Linked DNA regions of Mus musculus. The protein of the gene in region 2 purifies or fractionates together with the protein of the main gene of each other region. This does not show direct contact. Links are inferred from orthologs where the notes say so. Each region holds a gene or a part of one and is shown on either strand. Other genes may lie near its edges.

The links.
Region 1: the proteins of Atxn2l (region 2) and Nufip2 purify together in Homo sapiens (affinity purification with mass spectrometry; 4 studies listed by BioGRID and IntAct, counting the BioPlex papers as one, with this or other methods). This does not show direct contact. The link is inferred for Mus musculus from reciprocal best matches to the Homo sapiens genes ATXN2L and NUFIP2.

Annotation. Positions count from the first base shown.
Region 1 is NC_000077.6:77,684,846-77,688,938, forward strand, and holds the start of Nufip2 (nuclear fragile X mental retardation-interacting protein 2), read left to right. Parts: upstream 1-1,293; 5' UTR 1,294-1,382; coding exon 1,383-1,662; intron 1,663-1,710; exon of another isoform or gene 1,711-2,966; intron 2,967-3,441; exon of another isoform or gene 3,442-3,486; intron 3,487-4,093. UniProt on the Homo sapiens protein: Binds RNA.
Region 2 is NC_000073.6:126,500,638-126,504,937, forward strand, and holds the start of Atxn2l (ataxin-2-like protein), read right to left. Parts: upstream 2,801-4,300; 5' UTR 2,556-2,800; coding exon 2,263-2,555; intron 1,963-2,262; exon of another isoform or gene 1,694-1,962; coding exon of another isoform or gene 1,659-1,693; exon of another isoform or gene 1,593-1,658; intron 1,464-1,592; exon of another isoform or gene 1,438-1,463; coding exon of another isoform or gene 1,316-1,437; intron 822-1,315; coding exon 785-821; intron 676-784; coding exon 619-675; intron 538-618; coding exon 466-537; intron 237-465; coding exon 86-236; intron 1-85. UniProt on the Homo sapiens protein: Involved in the regulation of stress granule and P-body formation.

The sequences.
Region 1 (4,093 bases), on a different chromosome or scaffold from region 2:
AGCCAGGGCTGTACCAAAAAAAAAAAAAATCCCTTATAATACATAGACAAATGTATATCTAATTTAATGAATTTTAAAGCAATTATTCATGTAATAGCAATAGCACATTGGCTGGGGTATGCTGGTGTGTGTAGGACTTTAATCCCAGCATTCATGAGGCAGAAACAGGGGGAATCTCTTAGTTGGCCAGACACTTCTACTTAGGTAGTTCCAAGCCAATCAGGTTTACATAGTCTGTTTCAAAAACAAACCAGTCCAAAACAAACAAAACTCCTAGCCAAGTCCCCCAAATATATATTTCGAGGGTACCCCGTGTCTGTGCTTATCACAACCTTCTTCCTATCATAACAGGTTAAATTAACAGCATAAATTGCAAATACACCTTTACATTTCAATGTTTTCCTTAAATTTAATACAAAAATGTTTTAAAAACCCAAACCTTAAGAACTTTTAAAGGGTTCCTTTCTCCTTTATTTCACTTTTGAAAGTCTTAGTCTAAAATCTATTTTGGTTCCATAGTTGACCTCACCTGCAGTGTTTGATTAAAAAAACAACAAAAACACCCAAAAAACTTCAGTGTAGATTTTTTTCATTCCTCCCTCTCTCTTGCTTTCAACTACAAAGAAACAATGATTTAAGCCCTTTGTCCCCTTTTAGAAAATTACACAGATACCCTATTGTGGAACCCTATAATCCCTCCGTGGAAAGGAAGAGATTAGCATATGAATACAAAGCAAAATGAATCCAGAATACGAAAACGATCTATCGAGTTGTGAAGCTCTTGTATTCTTAAAAATGTATTTATTTCCTCTTTTTTGAATTGCCCCCTTCGTGGTTTAAGGGTTAAGGAAATTGAGCTTTCCTCTCTGGCTACCCGGAAAAGAATTAAACACACACACACACACACACACACACACACACTCACAACCCAACACATTCTAGGAGGTGCAAAACCAACAGATGGCTCCTAGCGCCAGTAGAATCGTCAGTGGAATCTGCTACACTCGACATCAGCTTGCTCGGTGTGAGGAGTGTAGAAAGTGCTGTTCGCTAACTGCGTGGTGAAGGAGAGAAAGCGATAGAAGAGAGAGCCATAATGCTGACGTTGAAGGCCCGGCCCTGTGAGGTTGCATAGGGTAAGTGGCGTTGGCCAGGCGGCGGTGGCGAAGGGGAAGGGAAGAGGATTTGAGCTAGGGGCGGGGCTTGACGCGCAGCGTGGCTCCTCATTGCTGGAGCACGGCTGCCAATCTCGCAGATCCTCTCGCTTAACCAGTGCGCTGGCGAGACGCGCTCAGATATACCGAGCGAGCGCGGAGAAGCAGTCTCAGATCCTGACGGTGCAGCAGCCCGCAGCCTCAGCCAGGGAGTCCCAGCCGCTTTCAATGGAGGAGAAGCCCGGCCAGCCACAGCCTCAGCACCATCACAGCCACCACCATCCGCACCATCATCCCCAGCAGCAGCAGCAGCAGCAGTCGCACCACCACCACCATTATTATTTCTACAACCACAGCCACAACCACCACCACCACCACCATCACCAGCAGCCTCACCAATACCTGCAGCATGGAGCCGAGGGCAGCCCCAAGGCCCAGCCCAAGCCGCTGAAACATGAGCAGAAACACACCCTCCAGCAGCACCAGGAAACGCCGAAGAAGAAAACAGGTCTGAGAGGGAGGGCGGTGGGGGAAGGGGGACTGGATTGGAGGGGGGGGAAGCGATGGGGGTGGGGCTAGATGGGAAAAGCGCGGACCCGGTCCGGGTGTGCGTCCCGCCGGGCCGGGGATGCCCCCTTCCATTCTTCCCGGGCGCGGGCCGGGCCGCGAGGTGGGGATTGCAGCGCCCTCTCCTTCCCTTTAGCATGGGAGAGGCCCAGCCAGGCCGGCGTGACCTTCCTCGGTCCCCGCCCCGGCCGGCCGGAGGCAGAGCTGTGCCCTCGGCCTTGGAAGTCCAGCCTTCATCTTCTTTTTCCCCTCTAGTGCGGGCCCTGGAGTTGCCTGAATGTGGGGGCCCCTAAGAAGGGGGTGAAACTCAGCCGCCCTAAAAAAATAAAATAAAAAATTCCCCCGAGGTGTATGTAATTCAGGCCTAGTGAATCCATCCTGATGCGGGTGGTGTCGCGAGAGCCGCTTGCAGGCGGCGACGAGCGGGGCTGAGGGCTAAGTTGAGGAAGCGTCCTCGCTCACCCGCCGCCCCGAGCCCACCTGTGGCCTTGGGGTTTGCCGTCTGGGTGTGTGGGGGACCCTATCGTCCCTCGGGTCATTTCCACCCCTAAACGCCCGTCTTGCGCGTCCGGACCCCGTTGTCTGTCCGCGAGGGCTTCTCCGCAGGCCGGCGCCCCTGGCCCGCTCGCCTCGGAGCCGGCGAGGCTGGAATGTTCTCTCCTCCTCGCGGGGCCGCTTCCTGTCCGCCATGTTGGAAGCTGATTCCTGTCACCGACTCCGGCCGGCGGAGGAGCGGAGGGGGAAGGGTGCCGAAGGCCACACGGCACGCCGGCCCGGCTGCCCCGGGACCCTCTGCGGCCCTTTTCCGGGTCCCCCCCGCACTGCGGGCGGCCGCCGCCCGCCGCCCCTCCCCCTCCGCGCCGCGCCGCGCCGGGGTTGTGTAACCCGGTGGCGGCCGCGCGGCCCCGGGCGGGTCCCTGGGGTGAGGGGCGGGGGCGGTTGGGGTGGGGGAGGGAAGCGGCCACGAGGGGAGCGGCCTGCACCGTGGCCCCGCGCGCCCGACGGCCGCGTTTCCCGCTCCCGGGTGCGGCGGGAGGCGCGGGCGGGGAGCGGGCCTTGAAGAGGAGCTTGAAGGGGGAAGGAGGCCCGGGCGGCGGCCGTGGCCGTAGCGTTCCGCTGGCCTGCGAGGGGCGAGGGGGATTCGTTTTGGGGAGAGGCGGTGCCTGAGGCCGGGTGGGGTACCCAGCGGGAACCAAGCTCCCGGGTCACGAGTTTCTCTGCCACAGGAATCTCATCTCCTGCCAGGTTCGCTCACGACTCCGCCTCGGAGGCTTTTTCACTTAGGCCTTTTTTCTTTATAGCAGCGCATTTCCTACCCAAAAAAAAAAAAAAAAAATGGGGGGGGGTTGGGGAACAACCTCTCAAACTTTGTTCCATTCGTTTTCCACCGAACACCTAAACTTCTGAGCTGGGTAGTGACTTTGTGGGAGGGATTAATCCGATGCTCTAATGGGTGGGACAACACGGGCAGTTTTGGCTTTCCTGTTTCTTTAACTATGAACTGGAAGTGACTTGTCCATGTGGTTGTCACCAGCCCTTTACCTTGGACAAGACCTTTTTGGTGGTTAAGAGGCGTTTTGGTGCATTTTAAAACCGACTTCCATCCCCTAACTGAGTATTATTTAACATTAAATGTGGAGCCTTGAGCTACTTAAAATAAGCATCAAAGTTTATATATTCACACGTTTTGTTTTGTTTTGTTTTGTTTTTAACTGAAAAGGGAATGAAGAAAGAAGTGTTAAACTTAGTCTTTCAAGTAATACAAGTAAGTTACTGGTGAAAAACTTACTGTAGACAATATAACTTTGAAGGCAGAGCTGAGTGGATATCAGATTTTCTTTTGTAGGGTAGTAGGGACTGATGATAGAGCAGAAGTGTTTAATTGTAAGGATTTACAGCAGCCTAGAAACTTAGGAATTATGTAACTGTATTAGTTTTGCTTTTCATGAGGTGAGAAAGTATCAAGGTTGCCCAGTGGTATTGTTCACAGATTCAGAATTTGTCTTTTATGAGGTTTATGTATTCCCCACAGGGCTCCTCACTGCATAGAAAGGCAGACCCTGAACCATTCATTGAAGGTGGCCCTCCTCACAATGTGTCTTAACCTGGGATGAAGAATGAGGAGGGAACTGGGTTTAGGAAATTTAGAGGTTATTAACAGTTGGGCTCAGCGGCTTTCCCGTATGTGGTTTGGTCGTTGGGTACTGTGCTAAAAAATCTAGAAAATGCTAGGGAAATACTTAACAAGTTTTTATGAACCATTACTTCCAAAGCTATGAGAAACTGGTTTTCTGGATCCAGAAGAGGGCACAGGAGACAAAACATGTTGAGTAATTGCAGTGTCAAATCTAAAAGCTAGATTTATTTGGGAC
Region 2 (4,300 bases):
TCTACTGAAAAGTAAATCAAGTCAACGTGTTCAACCTGCGGGCTAGCTCTCGTCAGCTTCTTGACACAACAGTTCAGAGCGATACCTTTAGTAGCATAATTGAAGTCAACATTTCGGAAGTGGACAAGCAGAACGTCGCTTGGTTTAAACACCATGGTGTCCACAATGTCTTCCCGGCGAGGCCCACCTGCTGGCTCAGATGCTTTCCGATGCACCGCGTCAACTGCCAGTTCAAACTACAAAAGCCCCAGTCCAACATGGCAGGGTCAGTATCAGAGGGAGAAGATGGATTCGCTCTTAAAGCTTTCTAGTCTTTCAACGTCAAATGCCCATGTCACTCTGTATTTCCCAATGTCAACCAGAGAACTTAGCAAAAGCCTCAAAACTGCCCGCTGTCACCCAACACACACTCTCAATCTCACTCTCCTTCACAGCTTCAGAAATTCCTAATTTGAGTACACTGACCTTTGAGCTCAGAGTCTTGAAAATGCCCTCGTAAGTGGTGCCATTTTTCACCTTTACGTCACAAGTAGAACCCTAGCAAGGTGAACCATTTAGTCATTTTAAGAAACTGAAACAGCATATTCCTCAGACACCCAGGTTAAAGCTGTTACTTACCACTACAGCTGTCAGGAAATGCAGCATCCTGGAATTGTTATAGACACCTTCAAACACCTGTCACACGAGAAAAAAGTAAAGGGCAGCAGGTGAATACTCTCTTCTCAGATTGTCCCACACTGTCTGTCTTCCGAGTGTCTTTACAGGAGGAAAAGAAGGCACTCACGGGTGACTGTGGGGGTCCCTTTCCGGTGGTCTGTCCCCTATTAAAAAAGAAAGAGAGAAATAGTTTTAATTAGTAGTGAACCCTAGACCAATGTACCAGGTCAACTTGCTGATTTAGGCTATAGACTGATTAACAAGCAAGACTTTTCAAGTTCTCACATTAAAGAAGAAAGTAGGCATTAACTGCTAAAACATTTTCTCCGAATTCAAGATTTTAAAAAAGTCAACAAAATATTCAATAAACAATAGCTGTCAAATGTTCCTAACAGTCAGTGCAATACAACCTGACTTCCTCTAAGGGACAGTCCTTCACTCTTCCGATAAACCACTGCTATAGTATTAAACCAACAGCACACTTCAGCTGTGAAGGCGAAAGCCCGGGCATCCCAAACGCAGCACCTCTGAGCTTAGACACATTACCTCCCAAAGGAAAAAAAGCTTTCAGGAGCCTTGGATTCCAAATCCCAGGAGAAGTATATTCTCCACACCCCACCCTTTCGCCCTCATTATTTTCATTCAGCCTGTTACCCACTCTGAAGGGATCCCCAAACGCCAGGTAACACAGCTCCTCGACGGCTGATGTAACCGGCAGTTGAGGAGGGCGAGGAGGGGGCCGTTGGCTGGGCTGGGGGACCGCGCAGCCGCAAAAACCATCCACCGGGATGCCTCGCCCGGTCTGCGCCTGCGCACTACAGCCCATCGCGCTCCACCACCCGCTCTAGAACAGAAGCCACTGCGCCTGCGTCCAGTGCCTCTTTCTATCGCATTGACACACCGAGAAAAACCGAGGGCACCCACTCCCCACTCACCGACACCAAACGCCCCTAAACCCTCCAAATAACCCCTCCCTCCTCCGCCTCTGCTCTACGTGTTACCGGGGCAAGCCAATGCCCGAGTCATAAGACAGCATCCGCGCGCACGTACGCCCGGGGAGCGCGCGCGCAGGAGCTTCCCAGCCCGCAGTCTTCCCAGTAGCCGCTGCTTCCGCGCCCCCGCCCACCCCGTCCCCCTCTCACTGGCTACACCGGGAAGAGGAGGGAACAATCCGCTCCCAAGTCCCTCCCTCCCCATTGGCCAAACTGTGGGCCGCGCGCCCCCCCCCCATTGGCTACAGTCGGGGACCCCTTCATGCAGCTGACTCCCCATTGGCTGAAGCCGGGGACCGCGAGATCCTTCGTGGTAATGGAGCTAGGGACCCCATCACCTCCTCAACCCCCCCAACACCCTTTGCCGACGGAGCTGGCGGGATGCGCCCCGCCTCCCCTCAGGGCCCAGACCCCCAAGAGGTGACTAGGCCCAGAGAGCCGAGCGCTGCCCCCAGGCTCCTGGAGACCTCCCGGAGAGCTTTCTCTCCGACCTGTTGGCACGAGGGTCCACCCCCTCCTTCACGGGGTCCTGGGCCCCCAAGAGCCCCCTCAACAGCTCCAAGCCGGGGCGCTGCCTCCCGGGCTCTCCCTAGCCAGGAAGCCCCGTCCTCACCTGACGCTGCCGATAGCCACTGCCCCTGGCCTTTCTTGATGCTGCGGCGGCGCTGACGCCGCTAAGATGCTTTCGGCTCCGCGGCGAAGTCCGCTGCCGGCAGCGGCTGCAGGCCCCAGGCACGGAGAGACCGCTGCGGGAGGCCCCGGGGGAGCCGCGGTGGCGGTCAGCGGTCCCGGGAGGCCGCCGTTGGGAGGGCTGGTCCCGCCGGGAGACCGGCGAGCCACGGCCTGTTGCGTGGGGGGCGGCTGCTGGGGTTGGGAGGTCTGTTGTGGCGGCTGAGGCTTCAACATGATGGCAGCGTCCGGAAGAGAAATAAGAGGGAAGGGAAAGAGGGCCTGGGGCCGGGCCCCTGCTGGAGAGCGCGGGAAGCGAAAGAGATCGCCAAGCAGGGGACCCGCCGTTGGCGGGCGGGGGGAGCCCCGCGGTGTCAGGGGTGGATCGAGAAGACGGCGGCGCGAGGAAGCGCCGCGAGGCGGAAGGGGAGGGGGGATCTCGCGGGCCGGTGGACAGCGAGAGGGCGCGAGCCGGCCTGGCGCGCGTGCGCGTCGCTGGAGAAGGAGAGGGAGGAGCGCGGGCGGAAGCGCCGGCGGGGGAGGGGCGCGGGGAGCGCCGCCAGGCGGTTAGTTCCGGAACAGAGGAGAGGCTCGAGCCGTGGCTCCGACCGGCCTAGCCCCTGGGGCGGAAAAGGAGCCGCGCAGGCGCTTAGCGCACCTCTAGGTTCTGAGCCACCTTAAATGCTGGCGGCCGCGGTTGCTTCACAACGAGGGTGGGCGGGGCCAAAGCCGGGAAGGGGAAGTGCCGGCGGACCCGCCCCTCCCACGCCGCCAGCGTAACGTCAGAAAGTCTCCGCGGTGGTGTGAGGTGTCACGTCGTAGCGTGAGGTTCTTCCGCCACTGGGTGACCGGTGGGCGGAGTCTCGGGAGCAAGAGAAAAAAAAAAATCCCTAGGACTGGAAAAACCTAGTACAGGTAACTTAAGGCAGGTGGGTTTTTAAAGGTGCTGCTCTCCATCTTAACTGCTTTAAAATATTAATGAGCGTCAGAATGACTATTCTGAGCATATGTGCATCCCAACAAATGTGCCCAATTCTAAATTGAAATTCAGTGATTCTTTCAGGGAGAGCGACCCCCTGAACAGTAGCAATACAAGCCGTCTGAAAGCCAGACTGACTAAGAGTATATTACAGAATCCAGCTGCATAGCAAGACACGGTTAGAAAACCGTGGTATAGTGCTTGCCTATTAAGGCAGCCCTCATTCAAAATTAGGGCAGCTATGGTGCTTCAGAACTTTAATTCCAGTACTAGGAAGGGAAGGTAGGAGGATCAAAAGTTTGAGGCTATCCTGCATTGTATAATAAATATCAGGTCAGCTGGGCAGACCCTGTTTCAAAAGGAAAAGTTGATGGAAAAGTCCATGCTTTGGGTAACTAAGCCACTCAAAGCTCAAGCTAGTGGAAGATTTATATAATTTGAGCAAAGGTACTTGGTAAAACACAGAGGGCAGGAAAATGGATTTCTATACAGACGAAATGGATCTGACAGGACATACGAAAAAATGGAGCTTGATTGGAGCCTGAAATCCTCACTCTATAGCTGTAGCTGGCTTTTAACTCCTTGTGTATACCATGGTGGTCTTAAAACTCACAGAGATCTGTCTGCCTTCTGAGTGCTATGATTCAGACATAAATCAGCACAGCCAGACTTTGTCATGGAATGTTAACCTAAAATCCCTTTATTGATAACATAATCCAAAAATTAAATCTAGGATTGGGTAGACACTAAGAAATTGAATATAGCAGTACAGATGAGTCCAAATCTACACTTCAGATTAATAACCCATCATAAGCGGAAAAATGGAATTAATTTAAAGTCATCCTCAAATATTTAGTCTGAGGCCAGTGGGTCAGGTGAGAGTCGGCATACACTTCCTAAAAAGTATAGGAGCAGGGGAAAGATAAATAGGTCATTTGGTAGCAGTGTACAAAATAAAAATGTATGTGTGGGTGGTTTGCCTTGCAGGTATGTTGGTGTAGAG